Linked DNA regions of Danio rerio. The protein of the gene in region 1 binds, or shares a complex with, the protein of each later gene. Links are inferred from orthologs where the notes say so. Each region holds a gene or a part of one and is shown on either strand. Other genes may lie near its edges.

Region 1 (10,197 bases):
AAGTGCCCCAATAACCCATGGACTTAGGATCATCCCCATTCCCCTCAAACTTGAAGCATAACGAAATACTACGCCATTAAATTTGCGACAAAGAAATTCTGGCAAAATAACCTTAGCCTCGGAACGTAAAAGCGAGGCCAACATGTCTAGAATAGAATAGGCTAAACCAATATGAACGTAAAATTATCAGCTGACCGAACTCAAAAGTTTATATTGAACATATGTGTAGCCTAAATAACATAGGCTAATTGGTTTAATATGCCCGGTCTAGTTTGATTTTTTCTTGGCACAATGCAGGAATAAAATAGCATCTACAGTGTCAGGATTCAGACGGGAGCGCCTGCATAGCCACTATAATGCGCCCTGCTGCACTGAAGGAGCGCTCGATCGCAGCACTTGTTGCTGAAATGCATAGAATTCTCTTGGAAAGGTGCTGTAGTCGTGGTAACGCCTCGCCTTATTTCTCCCATGAGGAAAGTAGATTTTCCTCTGCTGATCCGTCTATACGGAAGTTTGTAGAGGAATACTTCTGTACTTCATCCAGAATTAGTGTATCCGATTCCTCCTCCCATTCTGTGAAGTCAGTCCTAGGCTTTTTCGTTGGTGCACCAGCTATGAATATAAAAACAGTACAACCGCCCGCCACCCGCCCGAATTTAATTAAAATATTATTTTTTCGTAACGTCATCCGCCCGATCCGCGGTTTATCCGCGGAGTCCGCGGCTATAACCGCCAACCGCGCATCTCTAGTGTTAATATTAGGCACGGGACGATAACCGTTTTCAATGTATTCTGTGGTTTGGAAAAGTCAAGGATTTAAAACCGCCAAAATTTTCTGTAAAATCGTTCCTAAGGTGTGTAATGATCTTTTATTTACATTTTTTTTTTTTTTTTTTTCAGGAAAACAGTATCTCCTGCAGAAAAAAATATCCAAAGATGCCGTTTTAAATTGTAAAGAAATCTGTGTTTTTGAAACTAATGAAGACAGCAGAAGTCAATGATTCATTTGAATTAATTAGCCTGACGTGTTTACTGCTCCAAAATATCATAAATCTTTCAAAAAATAGAATATATTGTTTTCAAAGGGGAATTCTTTTGTTGTTTTTTTACCTAGACATTTAAAAAGAATATATTTTAGAGCAGTGAGCACAATTTTGTGATATTTTTATCCAAGTTTATCATACAGTCAGAATCTTAAACCAGCCCATGCCTAGTTATTATGGAGGGCAAACCGCCCTAAAATTTGAATATGTTACCAATATTTACCTTCTATTTTATTTTTAACATTTATTAAACACTATATTTGTATTTTTAATTTGTATAGACAACTTACATTACCCTTGTGCACTGTTCAAATGTTCTACCCTTTTATTATGTTCGGGATGAAAACATCCACTGTATTAAACTGCTGTAAAAATGCATCAGATAAATATTTTTTTCAAATTTGTTTTGCATAAATCTGTGAATCAACCTCAGTCCTGATCAAAACTACTAAATGTTTTTTTTTAAATTACACAATTTTATTTCTTTAATTGCCAAGTTCACAAATGATGTCTCTGATTGGGTGAAAAAAACACGCACAAAATGACATATTTTCAATATAACAAGTAATTTGGACTGGATTTTTTTCCCTTGGACAGTCTGTGAATGACAACAACATTGGTTTTGATGCATTGTTAGATTTTCATTTTTTCTCCCTAATTTACTGTTGGTGGCTGTTTTGCCTCATTGACTTACATTTTAACCACATTTGATGGTGCATACATTTTTTTTCGTTTACTCCATGTAGTTCTGGGAGCTGAGATGCATATTTTGATTTTCTCAAACAAAAGTGCACAAAGGTCACTAACACACTCACAGACACACTTTAATTTGCTGTTATACTTCATATAAAATTCAGAAACTAAGCTTTTTTTGCATAGGCCTATGAAAAGGGTTAATGCTGCCAACTGATGATCAACAGTAAAAATTACAAATTTTATCTCTTGCCAACAGGGAAAACCCCCAACAATCAAAAATGCATGATCATATGAGCTGCGTGCCAAATCATGGCACCCTGTACACTTATGCATTATGTACTTATGCACTTACACACTCAACAGAATAGTATATGTATATAGTGTCATCACAAATAAAACAATAATGTTTTTTTACTAAGTGGAAATTCAAATCGCTTCCCTGATGACGTTTGACGGTTGTCAAATTAATGAAATAAATGAGTATAACCGCACTTACCATCGGGAGGCGCTATAATCACTCTGCTAGTAGAATTTTGCTTTCACTATCCAAAATAAATAAAGTTATTTAACATGAGTGCCCTATAGTTCTGCCCCTTCCGCTACGTGATTAAAGCTGTGTTCATTGAGTGCATAAAGTGTCCAACATTCCACATTTCATTTTACTGGTTAAACGAGTGTCAACCGGGTAATTAAAGTGAACATTATTTTCAGTTTTAAGTATGAATACACTACTTGCACTATCCTATGTGATTTTGTGGTATAAATAGTGTAAGTATGCGATTTGAGAAGCACATATGGTGGCATGGTTTTGCAATCAAAAAAATGTGGTTATAATGAAAGTCAATGGAGAAAAATCAGCCACCAACTGTAAATTAGGGAGAAAATTTTCATTTAATCAAAAACAATGCATCAAAGCCAATGTTGTTACTAATCGTTCACATATCCAATACTTTGATAAAAGGTTAAAAAAAATTCAATCTACAATTACTTTTTATAATAAAAATACATAATTTTGTGCTTTTTTTTTTATACCAAATCAGTGACATCATTTATTAATTTGGCAATTAAAGAGTTAAATCATGCAATTTTCTAAGCAATTTAGTAGTTTTGATCAGGACTGAGGTTGATTAACAGATTTACGCAAAAAATAAAATAAAATTATCTATATATATATATATATATATATATATATATATATATATATATATATATATATATATATATATATATATATATATATATTTATTTATTTTTTTTTTTAATCTGATGAATTTTTATAGCAGTTCTTACCCAAATCACCCCAGAGTGGATGGAAACATCCCCAACAGTACTTAAGGCCTAACCTTTCTGACACACAGTTTGTGTTTTGAGCAGACATATTAAAACATCCATTATTCATTCATTTTACCATGGTGAATTAGGAAGAACAGCTGCTTCAAGACCAATCAGAAAATGTCATTTGACTTCCATTGGAGAACAAAACCCAACAAACATATGTGAGTGTTAAGAATTGTGGCAAACTGTTGTTTCCTGGTTTAAAATACCATAAGATGAGGACCACACTTCATAAAATATAGGTCTGGCAAGGCAAGGCAAGACTAGGACACATCAGGCTGAGCTCCTCTTGGATCTGCTGTCACACATTGACAGCAAATCTATAATGCATTACAGAGGAGTTTCTCAACTTTCAGATGGTCTCCTTTTCTCTACAAAAATCGAAATCACCAGCAGAAAAAAAGTGGAGCAACATGAAAGAGAATGTATACAGTGGATTTTACTGCTTGCATTTCAACTCTGCTCTTCTCCTCCCTATGAGACTCACCAGACACGATCTTGCAGCTCATCGTGATCGGCTGGAATGATGATTTCCCTGGTGACTCGGCAGCGCTGGGCACTTGCCCCTGTGGAATGATCTTACAGCTGGATGTAATTGGTTGAAATGCAGAGTTTCCGTGGGAACCAAGTGTAATTTTTTCAGACCTGTTTGACTGTGAAGTTTGTTCCAAACATGAAGGACGCACTGACTCACTTTTGACAGTGACACCTGGGGAAGAAATAAATGAATGAGAAAAAAACGATTCTTTAAGAAGTATAATTTGGAGACAGTTTAAGTTGTCACAAGCACAAAAAGCATTGGCACATAATTTATTTGTGCAGGCAAAGAATAATAAACAGACGATTAAATCACAGCTTCCACTTCTCATGCAATAAAGTGCAAATATCCTACTAATCCTCTCTTTATAAAAAGGATAGAGCAAGTGGGTAAATATATAAAAGCTGTGGCCACATTAATTTGAGCAAGTAGTACACGACAGTCATTCACCATGTTTATGTACATAATAGAATATGTCTGTTTGAATTTATTATCTTATACAGGATGTTTTTAAATCGAGAGATAAAAAGGAGAGGGATAAAACAAGATGATGAAGCACTGATAAAAACAGTGACTGCTCCATCATATTTCACATTTCTGTACAGAGAGGTCAAGTTTTGATCTTCTATTGGTCTCACGCAATGACAAAATGCAAACTTGGGAGGTCAGAGTTCACCAAGCTTGAACTTTGGACATGCAAAACTTGTCACACGAGCTTGCGTTTCTGATCTAGAACATTCGCATACATATAAATGGACATCTAAGAGGTGAAATTCTTTTGTGTAGACACTGTAAAATGGACAACCACGAGTCTGTCTACCTCTTTCTGAGCTGTGTTGATCATCATGAGCAGGATGAGAGGGAGAGGAGTTTCTCCTAGAGCCATGGATAGTTGAGGAGGAGGAGCCAGATCCGCCTACGAATGCTGGATAAGAAGATGATGATGAGGATGATGAAGGGGCAGAGGGGATGAAGTCATCACCCAGTGAGTTCCTGTAGAGCTGAACATCCACCACCTTCAGAGGAAAAAGACAAAGCAATTGAAAAATGGCATTTAAAAAAAATTACAAATCTGAAAAATAAAACACCAATGTCAAAAAAAGGAGTTTAGAACTATAAAACCTCTGCACTTTTACTGAAGAAACCTTCTTCACAAATATTTGAGCATACAGTATATTCTGAAAAGTTGGTTGAAATACAATGTAATATCAAGGTCAGAACCTAGAAACTAGGATTTATTCCATTTCTTATTTTCTTAAAAGTGAACAACATCAATAAATCTTCAGCTGACACATTCACTCATACTTTTCATTTACCTCACTGACACTTGCACTAACCAAAACTGCAGATTTGTGCTCGCCATCATTTTGAAGACTGACATTTTCATTACTATATTGACAGTCGAGACCTTGGCTTCTATTTTTAACAGAAGCTCATTTACACATGCTTATTGCACAAGTTAAACATTTCCTGTGTTAACCCAGAATTTAACCTAGAATTAAAAATGTACCATGAAATATCATTTTTATACTACACAAGACAAAATAATAAATGAAGTTACAGAAAATATCCAGTTATTAAAACATTAATATAGTGTTATTAATATTGTGTGTTGCCTACTTGAGCAGTAACGTCTGTTTGTAGCTTTTTGTGACAGTTGTGTTTCTTCAGGGTAGTACAGAATATAGGGGAAAAAAAAGCTTCCTTTAGCTTAGTCCCTTTATTTATTAGGGATCGCCACAGCGGAATGAACCGCCAACTTATTCAGCATATGTATTACACAGCGGATGCCCTGCCAGCTGCAACCCAGAACTGGAAAACACCCATACTCCCATTCACACACATACACTATGGCCAATTTAGTTTATTCAATTCACCTATACTGCATGTCTTGGGACTGTGGGGCAACAGTAAACTGACAACTGACAACCAGGACTCAAACCAGCAACTTTCTTGCTGCGAGGCGACAGTGCTAACCACTGAGCCATTGCGTCACCTCATAATTTTTCAACATATCTTGAATTTAAAAATAAAAAAACGTTCTATATAAACAAATTAGAATGGTCATATAAACTTATGAGTACAGCTTGTGTTTATCTTACCGTTTCAGCTCCCAAAGTCTGCAAACCTGTGTATGTTCGGTCAAGCTGATGGAGAAGAAATAAAAGAAGATTAACACTGACATCAAAAAACATTCAACAGTATTTGCAGTGGATGGCAGATGAAGTACTTCAACCCACAAACGTTTCTTTTTTCACACTTCATGCCCCTCTATTTAATCTTTTTTTTTTCTACCAAGAACAAAAGAGATTGCTGTGACAAGAGATAAAAGAAGAAAGGAAATCTAAACAGACAGACTGCTTTAAAAAAATCCACCTTTTTTACCTTTAGATTAGAAACACCATGTATAAAATAATGGATTCGTACAGACATATTCTATTCTGCACAATTCGCAGAAACAAAACATCCTCTCAGTGAATAATATCAAAGACATGGAGGTGGATGCAAGTCATCTACTGCTTGAATTCCTCACAGATGAAAGTACAAAGCAAAAGAAAGAGGGGGAAAAGGAAAGACGAAAAGGGCAACAAAAGGGGTTCAAAGACAGCGTGCGTGCAAGCGGTCAGCAAGTGTCTGACCTTTAAGTGGTGGATGATGTCGATACGTTTGTTCCGTTGGTCTTTAAAGTGGATCTGCACACGGACAGGAAACTCTCCCCACCCTCGACGGGTCAGGTGAAACGGTGGCTCACTAAACACACAGATTTGACAAATGCACCACAGTTAGAGATACAATCACCTCCTCTAGAGGGCACTGCCTGTTCTGTATTGATAAAAACTTAAAAATAGAATATTGCACCTTTGCTAAAACTGGAGTCATTTTTTTAAATGAAATACTTTAGTTGAATATTTAAGCAAAGCAAGAATTATTAAGACTCAAAGGTGACAATAAAAGCATTTTATTCCTGTTACAACATAAATACAGTTGTTGTAAATATTCTATTAACAATTTGTTGTAGTTTCTTCAATAAAATTAAGCTGCAAACGTTTTAAACATTTTTAATGATAAGAAACGTTTCTTGTATCAATATATTAAACATATTACAAAAGAATTTAAAAAATCCTACCAACTACAAACATGAGTGTACAATAAGACTCTTGAGTCTTGTTTATATCTGTTATCAAAAGGTTAGTTTACACCAAAAAATTAAATGTCTGTTACACATTACTAACCCTCATGTCATTCCAACCCCCCCAAGACCTTTGTTCATCTTCGGAATACAATTGAAAATATTTTGGATGAGATCTAAGAGCTCCATCATCCTCCATAGACAGTAATAGACTCAATTTGTTAAGAAAGTCTCCAATAACATCCTTAAAAATGTCCATGTGCCTGCAGTGGAATAAAGGATTAAGTCAAAAAGAAAATGAATAAAGTTATTATGAGGATAGAAGGTCTTGTGCTTTTGAAACAACATAAGAGTGAGTAATTAATAACATAACTTTCATTAAACTAACCCTTTAAGATGCATTTTTGTCAATCAGATCATCAGTGCACAACGCTAAACATGGGTGTAAACAGGGTTTTTATTTTTGAACAATGACAGCCTTCCTATACTGTTTACCATGCTACTCTGAATATTCGCTCTGAAATAGCATGCAAGTGTGGCTAAGTAATAAATGTAATTCCTGCACGGCGCTGGCTAAACACTAACTAACTGGCGAATGACATGAACTAGTGTGTTGTCTGTCTGCTGTTGTGACGCGGTGCGCACGCTCGCGATTTCGGGGGGTGTGGCTTTGAATCCCAGTCCCTCCCTGCTGTCCAAAGATAATATGCTAAGTGGTTAGCATTTTGGCAGATCACCTACTGCACCTTTAAACAGAACCTGAAGCAGCACTTGATAATTACAGACGGGTGTGTTTGGTCAGAGTTGCAACTGAAATTTGTAGGAAAGTATTGCCCTTTCTCAATATGCATTCTTCAGCGATCTTGCGCCCTCGTGTTCTCGGGTAACAGCATCATCAACAGCCAAAGTTCAGTTCCAAAACTCAAGACTGCAAGAGCAGAGGACATGTGAAAGTTCCTGGATGTGTTCTTGATAGAGGACACCTCGATGCAGACTTGAGCACAAAACTCGCTTGAGAAGTCCCAGAAGGCATTTCGACTGAATAAAGAAGGTGGGGAGTGCAGCATCTGATATAGATTTAATATTAAAGTTCGGAGATGTGACTAATTTATCTCAGGAGTTACCCTAAATGAGACGGTGAAAGTAAACATTTCCATGAAAATCTTTATAAAGGCATGAACAGATTAAGGGTGTTTATTTGCTGAAATTCATATTAAAATTTGTTTTATTTGTATTGTGCAACATACATTTATAATGTCTTTATGCATAGTACATATAGTGAAAGAAGGAAAAACAATAAAGCGTTGTATGAATGCTGAGATTTTTAAATAATGTTCTATTAAAAACGCGTGAAGATCATGTGACCATCAGGAAGAAAGCAGCATCTCATTTCTCACAGGACGCATTCTCTGTTCTCTAAGTTCATTTTTACGAGGTAACTCCACAAGAACTCCACAAGTACGCTAGTACGTTATCTCTGCGTTCTTGGAATTGAGAAACAGCCTAGCTCTCCAGGACCAGTGTTGGTAGGCCCTGGTCTAGAAAGGTTGTTGAAATTCCAGAGGTAGTAAAACATTTTATCGAGTTGCTTTCATAATAAAAATGCTCATGTGGTTAAAAAAAATTCAATGATTCAGTGATGTAATTTAGCTGACCCCATAATATGTTAATATCACATATAAACAAAGCTTCAGTGTTGTTAGGTGCAATTTGAATTAATGAAGTTCAAACTATTACTACAAATTATCCAAAGATGGTCATGTTGAAAAAAGCCTGAACAGTGAGATGAAATCAAAGCAGATGGATGAATCGGGTGGAATGTAAACACACACCTGACTTCCACGAGGTCATTGGGCTTGTAGCTGGGGTGCAGGAAAAACCAGACCTTCTTCACAAAGTGATCAATACTGGGCTCCTTACGAGAACCTCGAACGTACACCATCCACTTATGAGTGGACTGATCATTCTCCTCACGTTTATCAGGGGCAATATACCTGGAACAGAGAAAAAAAAAGTCTCAAAAACGGGTCTCTTGCTGCGTCCTAATTCGCATACTTATACTACACCCGAAAGTATGTACTTTTTTGAGAGGGAAAAATATATACTTTTGAGTGTGTGACAGAAGAGTGTGCTTTGGGACATACTACTTTTTCGTTAACAGATCGTTATGTTGCTTAATTATGAGCCCTGTCAAACATCCATGTCATCCTATCTCTTATTGGAGAAGCAGCGGCAGGTTAGGTCTTTCATGCAGAGAAATCTCCTCCGGTCTTTGGATAATTATGCATTCAGATGGTAATCTCCAAACATATCTTTATATAAGCGCAGTATTGTTGTTGCAGATGAAATATAACACAGAAAACACCATTTAAATATTTTCCAGTGGGCTAGATATTAATTAACAGTCATTCAAACAACTTTAACAAAGCTTTTTACTTGACGGTTGGTCTCGCAAGTCCACCATGTATGTAGTTTATTTACACTTTTCATCCATGTTAGTAGTTCTCATCGAAATCATGTCCAATGCACCAATACTGTGGACAATATCAGCAATTAGAGTATGGACGGTTCTGCACTTAAAATTTTTACCGGAAATAGTAAACCATCCGGGAACCTTTGGCATACTTTTTTCAACATACTACGATTTGGGACATACTAATTGTATTTTCAAATACTATTTAGGAAGGATAGTATGCGAATTGGGACGCAGCATCTGTTTTTTAGAAACAGAAAGAAAACAAATTGCATGAACTACCCATTAACTGTCATAAAAGCCAACTCTTCAGTAACATATTTAAATACTGAAACTGCAAAATTCAAAAGGCAACTGCATGGTAGCATTTTTGCCTTCAGCACAGATAAAAGTTAAGCTTATTTGCACATTTCTTTTCAACTCAGTGCGTGTCGTATATTTTCAGCTACCTGCCACAGTAATGTGATTTGTGCTCTTCATTTTAGGTTTCTAGGGAAAGGAAATCATCTGCTTCACACATAATGGTACAATGTGGAATTGTTTAGAAACGCTTTATTCAGACAAACAGCTTGAGTTCATGTTTTTTTTCAGCACAATGGCCCAGGAGTAAACAGTGTCATAAAGATCTTTAGTAGCTCTGCATGGAAAAAAGTCAGCTTATAGCATTGCTCATACAAAGACACACACACACACTTGTGTCTCACTCACATGCCTTGAGTGAATTTTATGAGGTAAAGTAGACGTGGACTGTGTGATAATGCAGAATAAATGAGGTTAGATTGCTGCCTAGGGGAAACTAAAGCTTTGCTTTTCACCATGTGAAGGTTTATTGGGTTTCAGAGAAATAATAATGAGACTTTCCAGAGAAAGTGATACATTTAAAAATGAATACAAGCTCGGAGAAATAAATATTTCTCCTCATAAAAGCCTGTGGAAATAACAAATGGTTGGAAATATAATGGTTTAAGATTAATTCAAAAAT
Region 2 (10,688 bases), on another chromosome or scaffold:
ACTGACTATTAAAAGGCATTATCAATGGAGCGCAGATATTACGAGTGACAATGGCAACATCTTTAAAAAAGAGATCACCATTTCTTTCTCCAGCTGAACTTGAAGTGATCATGCAACGTTATAGCAAATGAGTGTATATATTTTTAAAACGAAGCAACCATCAGTGAAACAGAGACAGTTAGCCTGGGAAAACAGCTGCTCAAGTTAATGCGTAATTTTACATTTAAAATATTTAAATATTTAAGTATACTAAAATAAGTAATTTAATGTGTGATGTTTATACATTTTTTACTTTTTTACTTTTATACACGTTTATCCGTTTTAATAGATTTAACAGTGCACTTGTGTGTCTGCCTTTTTTTCTTGATCAAGTGATAGAGTTTGATATAACATTTAGAAGGTAAGCAGTACCAAAAATAATTTTTAGAAAGAATAATAATTCCATTAATCTAGTTACAGTACATGTCGAAGGTCAATTAATTTAAGCTAATTATTTATTGTTCTGTGTGCGACTAAAAGGTAGGCAATATCTATGTTTTGATCCAAATATATTACATAAATGTATGTGCAAAACTGGAATATTTTATAAAAGATGCGAATAAAGCAGCGTTGCGATCCAATGAGTCAAAGAAAACAAAATCGTCACTTCCTGATTAACTGGCGCTAAATATCAACAGTAAAATCAGAATTTACTGTGGTAGAAGAAGCTGCGTCAATTATTTATTTAATAAATGTACTTGCGTCTCAGAAGACAATGAACACGTGGGGTGTTTGAAGTCATGAAACGCGAAGACTCTTGACACGCTCTAGATGCTCAGATGTAATAATATACACTAATACTTAAACAGTTAAGCCATTTTAGAATGACTAAAACAACATTTAAGGCGTGCTACAGTGTGCTCAGCCTGCTGGTTTGTCCATTCACACACATTTTCATCATCATATAAAAGACCTTTTTTTAATGTACATACTGTAATTTGTTCAGCAAAAGTGTTTCCATCGTAGTTTATGCACATATTTTCTATCGAATAAGTTAATCCTGCTCAATTATGCATGTTTTTTATGCATATTATTAAAAGTTAAGTGCATCATGATGTTTCCATCAATCGTTTTTTATGCACATATCCAAAATGAGCATTAAAATAGGTGGGTGGAAACGAAAGGCTAAGGCGAGAAATACCGCTTCGTCTTTAAAAAAGTGGAGGAGACCGACAGAAACTCTGAGTTTAGAAAATAAAACCTGCTCCTGACCAGGTTAGGTTCACAGAGTAAGTTACCACAGTAACTGACTCTGAGTAAAAGTTACCTCTCTTTTAGAAACAGGCTTGACTTACCCTGCTTTCTCAAGTTTAACAAACCTGCCATTTTGAAACAGAAAACCCCAGAGTTTCTCTCATTTCAGGGTTAAAATACTCTGAGTTTTACTTAACCTCCTTTCTGAAACAGGCCCCAGGTGCCAACTAATTAAAAACGCAGAAACTGTGCACAATTTCACTGCATGTGTTTGCTTTCTGGACAGTCTTTCACTGACACTTACAGCAGAAGCCATATTTCTCTGCGATTTAGGGAATGAAAGTGAACTCCATTTCTCTCTCTCTCTGTGGCCCATTTCACCTGCTGGCGTGACTTTTCCTCTCGGCTGCTGGTGTGACTTTTCCTTCCCTCTCTTTTCCTCTCGGCTGTTACAACGATACTTCTGGATATAAGTCTGCATTCCCGTGGCTGTACCTGTACACTGTCGCGAGACCAAAAAAAAATTTATTTCCAAATAAAGCGCGGGAGCGGTCTGTAACTCTGGTGTAATTTGAACAGGAGTGGGCGGTCTCACAATATCGCTCCCGAGCGAGCAAGCGAGCAAGCAAGCAAGTGCACGTGTGTGTGTGTGTGTGTTTATTTGATTGGTGCTGTCTATGTTTGTGTGTGTATGTGTGAGAGACAGTGTAATGCTATGTGTCTATGTGTGTTTTTAAACAGACAGCTTGTTATAGCCCCCGCCAAAAAATATAACACTGTGTATGGAAAGCATCATCAATGCACCAAGATACCGAATTGAACCAAATCGATGGCATGATAATCGTAACCGAACCAAACCATGAGACCAGTATAGGTTCACACCTCTAATCAATAATATCGATTTTTATTTACTTTAACGACAAAATGTCAGTAAATAGCGCTATTCTGCCTAGCCTGCTTTACTGAGCTGAAGTTGGTTTTATATTCACATCACATTGGTTCATTTTTGAACAATGAAAACCTGTGAAGCGCCCTCTATATTGTTTACCCTTCTACTCTGAATATTCAGTCTGAAACAGCATGTAAATGTGACTTACTAATAAATGTAATTCCTGCACATCGCTGACCAATCACTAAGCACACAGGTGTCGATTTAGGACAAAACGCGTAAGAGAGAGTAAGGCCAGCGATCCTTGCATGTATGAAATATTGAACATTATGAAGTTTTGCTTGCAACACTGAAAACATGCTAGATATAAAGCAGTTTTTCATTGGGAATTTTAGTATTATAAAGTACTATAAACTTTTCTAACTGGTGAATGACATGATCTAGTGGGTCTCTGTCATCTTTAATGTGCGTGTTTGTGATAACAGGAGGCGTGGTTTTGGCCAGCAGTGGAGAGATTGAATTTAAAAAATATTATGCTAGCCGGTTATCATTTAGGCTGATCCCCTAATGCACATTTAATATACACTGCCTGAATTAATGTCCACAAACCAGGATTGAGGAGTCTTTTATATTATTGTACTGACATGCTGTTGTGGTGATAAAGACGGCATAATCTCTGTAATTCATTACAAACATGCACTGTTTTAAAAACTTTTTAAACTTGTAAAACTCACTCTCGATCACATTTGATGATGACTGATGATCACAGAAAGCTGAACAGATCTTTTAATCCCAGTTGCTTTGCACACTTTGTGCCTTGTTGATATGATTATGCGTATTACTACTAATACATGTTAGTACGCGGCTGTCAATCAATTCGGTGGACAGGGAAACCGCCCTCCTATGTCACGATGCGGTGGGCCTCAAAATAGGAGGGATTTAAATCCTATTTTAACATTAAGAAATTTTTTAAAAAGAGACCTATTGTCTTTATATCACCTTAATATGACTGTGGACACACACTATACCTATACACAGTTCTGTCCAAACAGATTAGAAAATATTATTTTCATCATAGGTGCCCTTTAAAATTATATTTTATGCAGATATGCTCCACTACACAATAACTCAATTTTAGCAAGCTATTCATCTGGTGAAATTGCATTTATATCGCAATATATATCACAGTGAATGAAAATATTGCAATGTCAGTTTTTTCCAATATCATTTAGGCATACATTTTTTATTTACAGGCCTTTACCTTTAACGTTACACAACCTTTTGAACCCTATTTGTTTGTCTGGGTGTGTGTATTTTTAAATAGCTTTTTAAAGAATGACATGAAATGATCAGGTAAATGCATTACCCTTGGCATATACATAAAAACCCGTTTCATTTTAGTCATATTGATAAATTGTAATGTTAAATGCGATTTAAAAACACAAAAGGGTGAAACAGAAGATTGTTTTGTGACGGACAAAATAATAAACATTAAACACGGTCAATGTCAATATTTAAACTATCGAAATAAAGTAATTTACCTTCGTTTATATTTGCAGTAGTCAATTTTAAATGCTCGTTATTTTGCTAGCGGAAGTGAGGTCATGTTATGCAGGAGACCGTTGGTCCAATCAGCGCAGCAGCCGGGAGCGGAAGAATGATGGCGGCGGACGGCGAAAGACGCGGTGCGTGTGCTGCAAGTAAACAAGAGCAAAGCAGAAGCCAGATTTCACTTCATGCAAGACAAAGGGATGCTTTCAGAGACTGCGTTGCCTCTATTGTCGACTCCCTCGCTGAGCTTGGAGTAAAGGTTTGTTTAAAAGCAAATTCTGCCACGGTGTCACTGTTTGGGATAGAGCTCTTAACAGTCATATTTGTAACGTTATTTCATTTGAGATGCCAAAAGCTAAATATGTAACGTTAAATTATGGAACTTTTCCGAAGTAACAAGATCACCCATGTCGTAAAATTATATGATTTGTCCGCGCTAATATGATTTGTTTCAATCACTTAGATAATTTGTCTGTACTTGTCTGCAATAAGTTGTAATATGCAATATTTCCACTGTCACTGCTGAAATAATCAGCCTGTCCTGGAGTTTTTATAATGGTCTCATATGTTTCTTTTCTGGATTTTTATTCAATTTTTAGCTGGTTTTACTCCCTGCCTCCCCAGCTGACAAGTGCCTAAAATCTTACTACTCATTTAACAAACCATATTGACCAGCGAAATAAACCACCTAGTCTGTTTTAGGCATCTTTTCTGCATTGACAATTTAGAAACCACAACAACAACAAAAAACTGTCTTATTTTCCAGTTAAAAATAGATGATAACGCATTGAAAATCAGTGCCAATGTCAACAATGTGAACATCTGTGAGCTTCAGCCATCTCATGTGCACTCCTGTTTACAACAGCACATCTCCAAACTACAGGTAAACAGAGTCATGTGCATTATAACATTTACTAACACACATAGCTGATTTTTTAAGTATAAAGATATCTTCTGAACCTTTAAATAGATCTTGTAAGTGAATTTTGTTTGCCATTTATTTGTTTACTTATCTGTAATGAACCTTATCCAGAGAATTGGTGAACATTTGTTTCCACAATGGAATAAAAAATTAAACCCATTATGTCACAATTGTAATTCAGAGAATATCATCAGTATTGCCAGAAGGAAACATGATATATTATTGGTGGAAAAGTCAGAATTTTATAATGCTATTTAATATTTTATCTTGCATTTTGACTTTTTATGTTAGAATAGGGACTTTATTGCCCACAAATCTTCATTTGTATCTCACATTTTTGATAAAACGTTTAAATTACAAGATATAAATTATTATAAACGAAGTCAAAACCATTTGAAACCCTGAGATGCAGAGTAACAATACTGAAAATAGTCAGAATTACGAGATAATGTTCATCATTTTCAGTTGCAAGTATCAAATCACAATGCGTTGAAGAAAAGTCACAGTTATCCTTACTTATTTGTTTTTTCTTTGGTGGAAACAAGCTTTTGCTGCAATGTTTTTATTTTATGAAATTAAGGCTTTGAGGGATAGAAAGTAAGTGCACTCTTTTAGTTGATCATTAAAATATATAAAATACATAGTACTGACTCATGTTTATTTATAATTAATCACATCCAAATTCAAAGCTTGTGTGTGTGTGTGTGTGTGTGTGTTTGTGTGTATGCATGTATGTATGTAAGTGTGTGTGTGTGTTTGTGTTCGCGTGTGTGTGTGTGTGTGTGTGTGTGTGTGTGTGTATATATATATATATATATATATATATATATATATATATATATATATATATATATAAATATATATATATATAAATATGCTATTTATTAAATTTTTTTGAGAAAATGTTTATTTACATTTACATATAAAATATATATAATATTTTTTATTGTAAAATTAAGTTTTATGTATATGTGTGTTTTAAATATGCATACTACACACACACATATATATTATGTTACAACGTATTTATATTTTGGTCACGGTTTACTACGATTAATCGTTGCCCTGCACTATTAAATTCATATTATGCAAGTGGAATAATGTTGTTTCCTGAATAATGTTCTTAAAATGTAAATATGTTCAGTGTTTTTTGCAAAACAAAAACTGACAGGGCAAAATGAATCCTTTGTCCTTCAAGATGGTTCTCTGATTAGCTTATCAGCGTTTTTTTTTTTTTTAAATGTATATGACCAGCATTACTGCACATTATCTTCTGACTCCTTGCTAAGACACAGTTTATCATTATAAAGACACTGTAAGACTGTCTTTTACCACATTGTTTTTTTTTTATTAACCTTCTGCTTCTAGTCGGTCTCTGAGAGTTTGAAGCAGATAGTGGAGTCTGAGGCAAATAACTGTACAAGTTCCAACCCAGACATCGGTGAAAGGAAAGAAACTGCACATACATCTGAGCAGATGTTTACTGATGATCCTCTTACATCTGACCACTGTGCTGCCCTTGAGGATCGAAACAGGACTCAAATCGATGATAACGTGCAGATCAAGGCTGCTAAATCAGAGGTAAATTTATCACTTCAAAATGTAGGCATATTTTACACAAATCACAGTTGTATTTATTGGAATATTTAAACAAGTAAGTGATCATATGAATATTTACAAATTGGGGTAAAACGTAGTGGTTTTGAAGGATAGTTGCAAAATATAAAGATTAAAAATGACAATTAATGACAATTTTTTATTATTATTATTATTATTATTTTTTTTTGGAGCATCCGTTATGTAGTGTTTTTATATGTCATCAAATGATTCCTATTCGAAATATGTTTGGCACCGATGACGTAGTGGTTAGTGCATCAACAAATGCACTCACGGCGGTGATCACGGCGACCTGAGTTCGATTTCCACCTTGAGGTCCAATGCCGACCCTTCCTCTTTCTCTCTGCTCCCCATGCTTTCTTGGTAATAGTCTCTACTGTCCTGTTTGTTGATAGTAAAAACTCTGAAAAAATTATTATTAAAAAAAGAAATATGTCTGGCAAAGTTGTTTTGATACATAAACCATTGTTTCAGTGAATTAAATTTTAGTGTGCATCTTCTAAAAATCTTAATAAAATGTGCTTTACATTATTTTAATAACGCATTTTAATTAAGAAAAATATTACCCTTTTATTTTCTAATCAAATCAAATCTAACCAAATAATTTTGTCATAATATTATAAAACATATATATATATATATATATATATATATATATATATATATATATATATATATATATATATATATATATATATATATATATATATTTTTTTTTTTTTTTTTTAATATATATATATATATATATATATATATATATATATATATAGTTTAAATCAAAATGTCAAATGTAAAATCTTTTTTCATCCAAGAGCTATTTTCAGTTTTAATGCAGTAAGTCATAAGTACATTGCTACGTATTAAGATAATTTATTTAGTTGAATAGTTTATTGTTTTCATTTTTATTTACCAATGATTATTGTTAGTCTGAACATTTATTTTTGTGTGTTAAAGCAATCTCTTCTCCCAAAACACAATTAAAGTCAATTGCTTGACAGTCAGAATGTATTATTTGCATGTAATCTGCCCCAGTTGGTCAGTCATATGCAGTGTGAATTGCCATCTGTGGACAGACAGTTGAGAATGAATGAAAGGCTCCTTCACCACTTTTCCTTCAGAAAGAAACAAATAGCCACCCACTTTGAGAGTCCTGAGAGAGGTCCTGGTCCTTGCAACGTTATGAAGTGGATGTTCATTACACGCTGAAATTGCATGTGGGCGAAGGACAAGGAGGCCCTCATTTTTATTGCTTATTTATTTACAGTCACTGTAATAAAAGGCCCAAGCAAATCACAACTATCTGAAACGGTTACGTGTGAGAAATATTTTGATTTTTGGAATAATTGTGTCCACCCTGGTCACTTGTTAGTCATGCAGCCCGTACGGCCTAGCGGTCCTCATTATAACTAAACAGCAAAAAAGAAGACAGTGAATTGATTTTTTTGTTCTTCAATAGCTCATCAGCCTGACCCTCATTGCTCTCTCTCTCCTCATTTTCTCAGATTGAACGTAGGATATCTGCATTTATAGAGCGCAAACAGCTGGAGATCAATGAAAACAATGTGAGGGAGTTTTGCAACGTGATCGACTGCAATCAGGGTGAGAATGGGAGGGTATGGGCGGCAGGGGGGTGGTCAAAGGTATACTGCACAACAATTGCCAATGTTTGTAAGAGTGCTGATTTTCACTGACGTGAGGTCAGAATTCAACTGTCATTTTCACAGAAAATTCTACAAATAAAATCTATTATTGTTAGTGCTGTCAAACGGTTAACTATATAAATAATCCAAAATAAAAGTTTGTATTTACATAACATTCATGGCAGTTTTTCTGAGGCTTTTTAAATGTTAAATTCATATCAACATTATATCTTCATTTATTTATTTTATTTTCAGCTTAGTCCCTTTATTAAACAGTGGTCGCCACATCAGAATGAATATATATATGTATATACACACACACACACACACACAAACACACACACACACACACACACACACTTAAACAAGGCATTTACGCCCATAGAACTTGCACTCACTGGATGTTTCCTTTTTCAGACCAAGTAGTAACATATCAGAAAACCCTTTAAATCAGCAGCTTTCTATCCTGATCCTGGGAATCCACATTTGTACTGAGCATCTTATACACACTCAGTACAGCAACTACACCCATTCTTGTCTACAATATTATTTAGAAAAACTGTTTTGATCCACTTCAAACGTTGACAATTATATATACATATAAGCCATTTTCACCTATATAACTTGCACTAACTGGATGTTTTTTTTTTCAACCACTCTCTGTAAACCATAGAGACTGTAGGGCTTGAAAATTCCAGTAGATCAACAATTTCTGAAACACTCAACCATATTCAGAGTCCCTTACCCAAAACAGAATATTCTGTAATAATTTACTCACCCTTCACTTGATCCAAACCTGCTTCTGTTGAACGCAAAGATATTTTGAAGAAAGCTGGAAACTCATAGCCAATGACTATGGCCAGACAGAATCTGCGGACAATTTTTGCTATTTCTGCGGAGAATTTTGTAAAAAAAAAAAAAAAATGTGTGGATTTATGTAGTATTATTTTAAGAATATCATTACTAATAACTTATTAAATGAAATACAAAATAATAGTTTTGTAACTTTTATTTAGGGTTTACAGTGCAAATCCATCTACATCCATTTATTTGGTAAACAAACCAAGTCTATCATATAATGTATCTACTAAAAGACAAAACAAATATTACTTTACAAACTGTATTGTAAACAACAGTCAATGTAGTCAATATTATTGCTGAAATGAATTTAAAAACTGATAAATATGAATTTACACGAGTACATAAATAGACTCAATGATGGGCCAAAAATCTGCGGATATCTGCACACCCAGATTCCTTATGAGCCTACTAATGACTTACAAGATATATTTTTCCTACTTTGGATGTCAACAGCAACTGTTTTTCAAAATATCTTTTTTTTTTGTGGGTGTGTTCAACCGAATAAAGAAACTCTTGTTTCTGTGAACAATCTCTTTAAATCAGGGGCTGATCAGTCCTGATTCTGGGGACCTACTGCTCTGCACATTTGTACAGATCATCTTATACACAGTCAGTACAGTTCTTAAACCTAATATAATGAGCTGATGGGATAATAATAAGGGATGAATAAAATGCGCAGAGTGGTGAATGTCCAAGACCAGGATTGAAATCGCTGATTTAAAGTGTGTGTCTTCCTCATTCTGATCCTCTGTTTGATCTTCAGCAGATCGTCTTGACCACACCTGCATGGCTATATGCATTTAGTTGCTGACATGTAATTGGCTAATTAGGTATTTGCATTAACAAGCAGCTGGAGAGGTGTACAGAATAAAGTGGCTGTTTAGAGTATGGCTGTGTTCCACTTCACTAGACACGTACAGGCAAATTCATGAGGAATTAGGAGTCCTCGCCTTAATTTTAATGCGCATTCCACTTTGTCAATAAGGACAAGGGAGGTTTACATGGACACACTCTTGACTCCTCGATTTTATACGAGGGTTCGAGTCTGCTTCAAGTGTACACTCCAGTACCTGTATATCCCACAATGCAATGCGAATGTCATCTCAATAGTGACTTGCATTCACAGTGTATATTAATTACCAAGTGTTCAAGGGTTTAGGGAACTCCATATTAACCCTTTCAGGTACTCTACCAGTTGTGGACACCTGTGTAACATAACCGATGACATACATCTATGTAAATGATATGGAGGAAAGTTAGAAAGTTAAGGGCATAATTTGGACTGGAATGCACCATATGTGTCGTTATGTTTGGTAATTTCACGTAATTCATGTGCTTTAGAATTCCATTAGGAACATAGCGAGCATTGATGCTGTCTGATTTGCATGGAGCATTGTGGGACATTTTAGGGAGGAAATGTTTTAGTGCACTGGAAGAATTTTTATTTATTTTTAATTTTTTTTTGTGGTTGAGACAGCTTCTTATACTGGCTAAATTCCTAACCAGTGCCCTGACTGCTAAACAAGTGGCGCAGGAGGTAGTGCTGTCTCTTCACAGCAAGAAAGTCGCTGGTTCGAACCTCGGCTCAGTTGCCATTTCTGTCTGAAGTTTGCATGTTCTCCCTGCGTTCGCGTGGGTTTCCTCTGGGTGCTCCGGTTTCCCCCACAGTATAAAGACATGCAGTACAGGTTAATTGGGTAGGCTAAATTGTCTGTTGTGTGTGTGTAAATGTGTGTGTGTGTGTGTGTGTTTTCCAGAGATGGGTTGCGGCTGGAAGGACATCCGCTGCGTAAATAAACTAGCTGGATAAGTTAGTGGTTCATTCCGCTGTGGCGATCCCGGATTAATAAAGGGACTAAGCCGACAAGAAAATGAAAGAATGAATATTACTGTTATAAGAAGCAGAGGTTTTATATTGCTTTTGCTGTACAAACTAACAATATCTTTTCCCTGTGTGGTGTGCAGAAGACAGCTG

Evidence for each region. Proteins that work in one complex are often made in the same cells at the same time.
Region 2: yeats2 (region 1) and mbip share a complex: the UniProt entries of both Homo sapiens proteins name them as parts of the ADA2A-containing complex. The link is inferred for Danio rerio from reciprocal best matches to the Homo sapiens genes YEATS2 and MBIP.

Annotation. Positions count from the first base shown.
Region 1 is NC_133177.1:47,776,758-47,786,954, reverse strand, and holds part of yeats2 (YEATS domain-containing protein 2), read right to left. Parts: intron 8,737-10,197; coding exon 8,575-8,736; intron 6,364-8,574; coding exon 6,252-6,363; intron 5,760-6,251; coding exon 5,715-5,759; intron 4,629-5,714; coding exon 4,433-4,628; intron 3,784-4,432; coding exon 3,562-3,783; intron 1-3,561. UniProt on the Homo sapiens protein: Chromatin reader component of the ATAC complex, a complex with histone acetyltransferase activity on histones H3 and H4. YEATS2 specifically recognizes and binds histone H3 crotonylated at 'Lys-27' (H3K27cr).
Region 2 is NC_133192.1:40,160,450-40,171,137, forward strand, and holds the start of mbip (MAP3K12-binding inhibitory protein 1), read left to right. Parts: upstream 1-3,767; 5' UTR 3,768-3,779; coding exon 3,780-3,932; intron 3,933-4,439; coding exon 4,440-4,556; intron 4,557-5,963; coding exon 5,964-6,176; intron 6,177-7,714; coding exon 7,715-7,811; intron 7,812-10,678; coding exon 10,679-10,688. UniProt on the Homo sapiens protein: Inhibits the MAP3K12 activity to induce the activation of the JNK/SAPK pathway. Component of the ATAC complex, a complex with histone acetyltransferase activity on histones H3 and H4.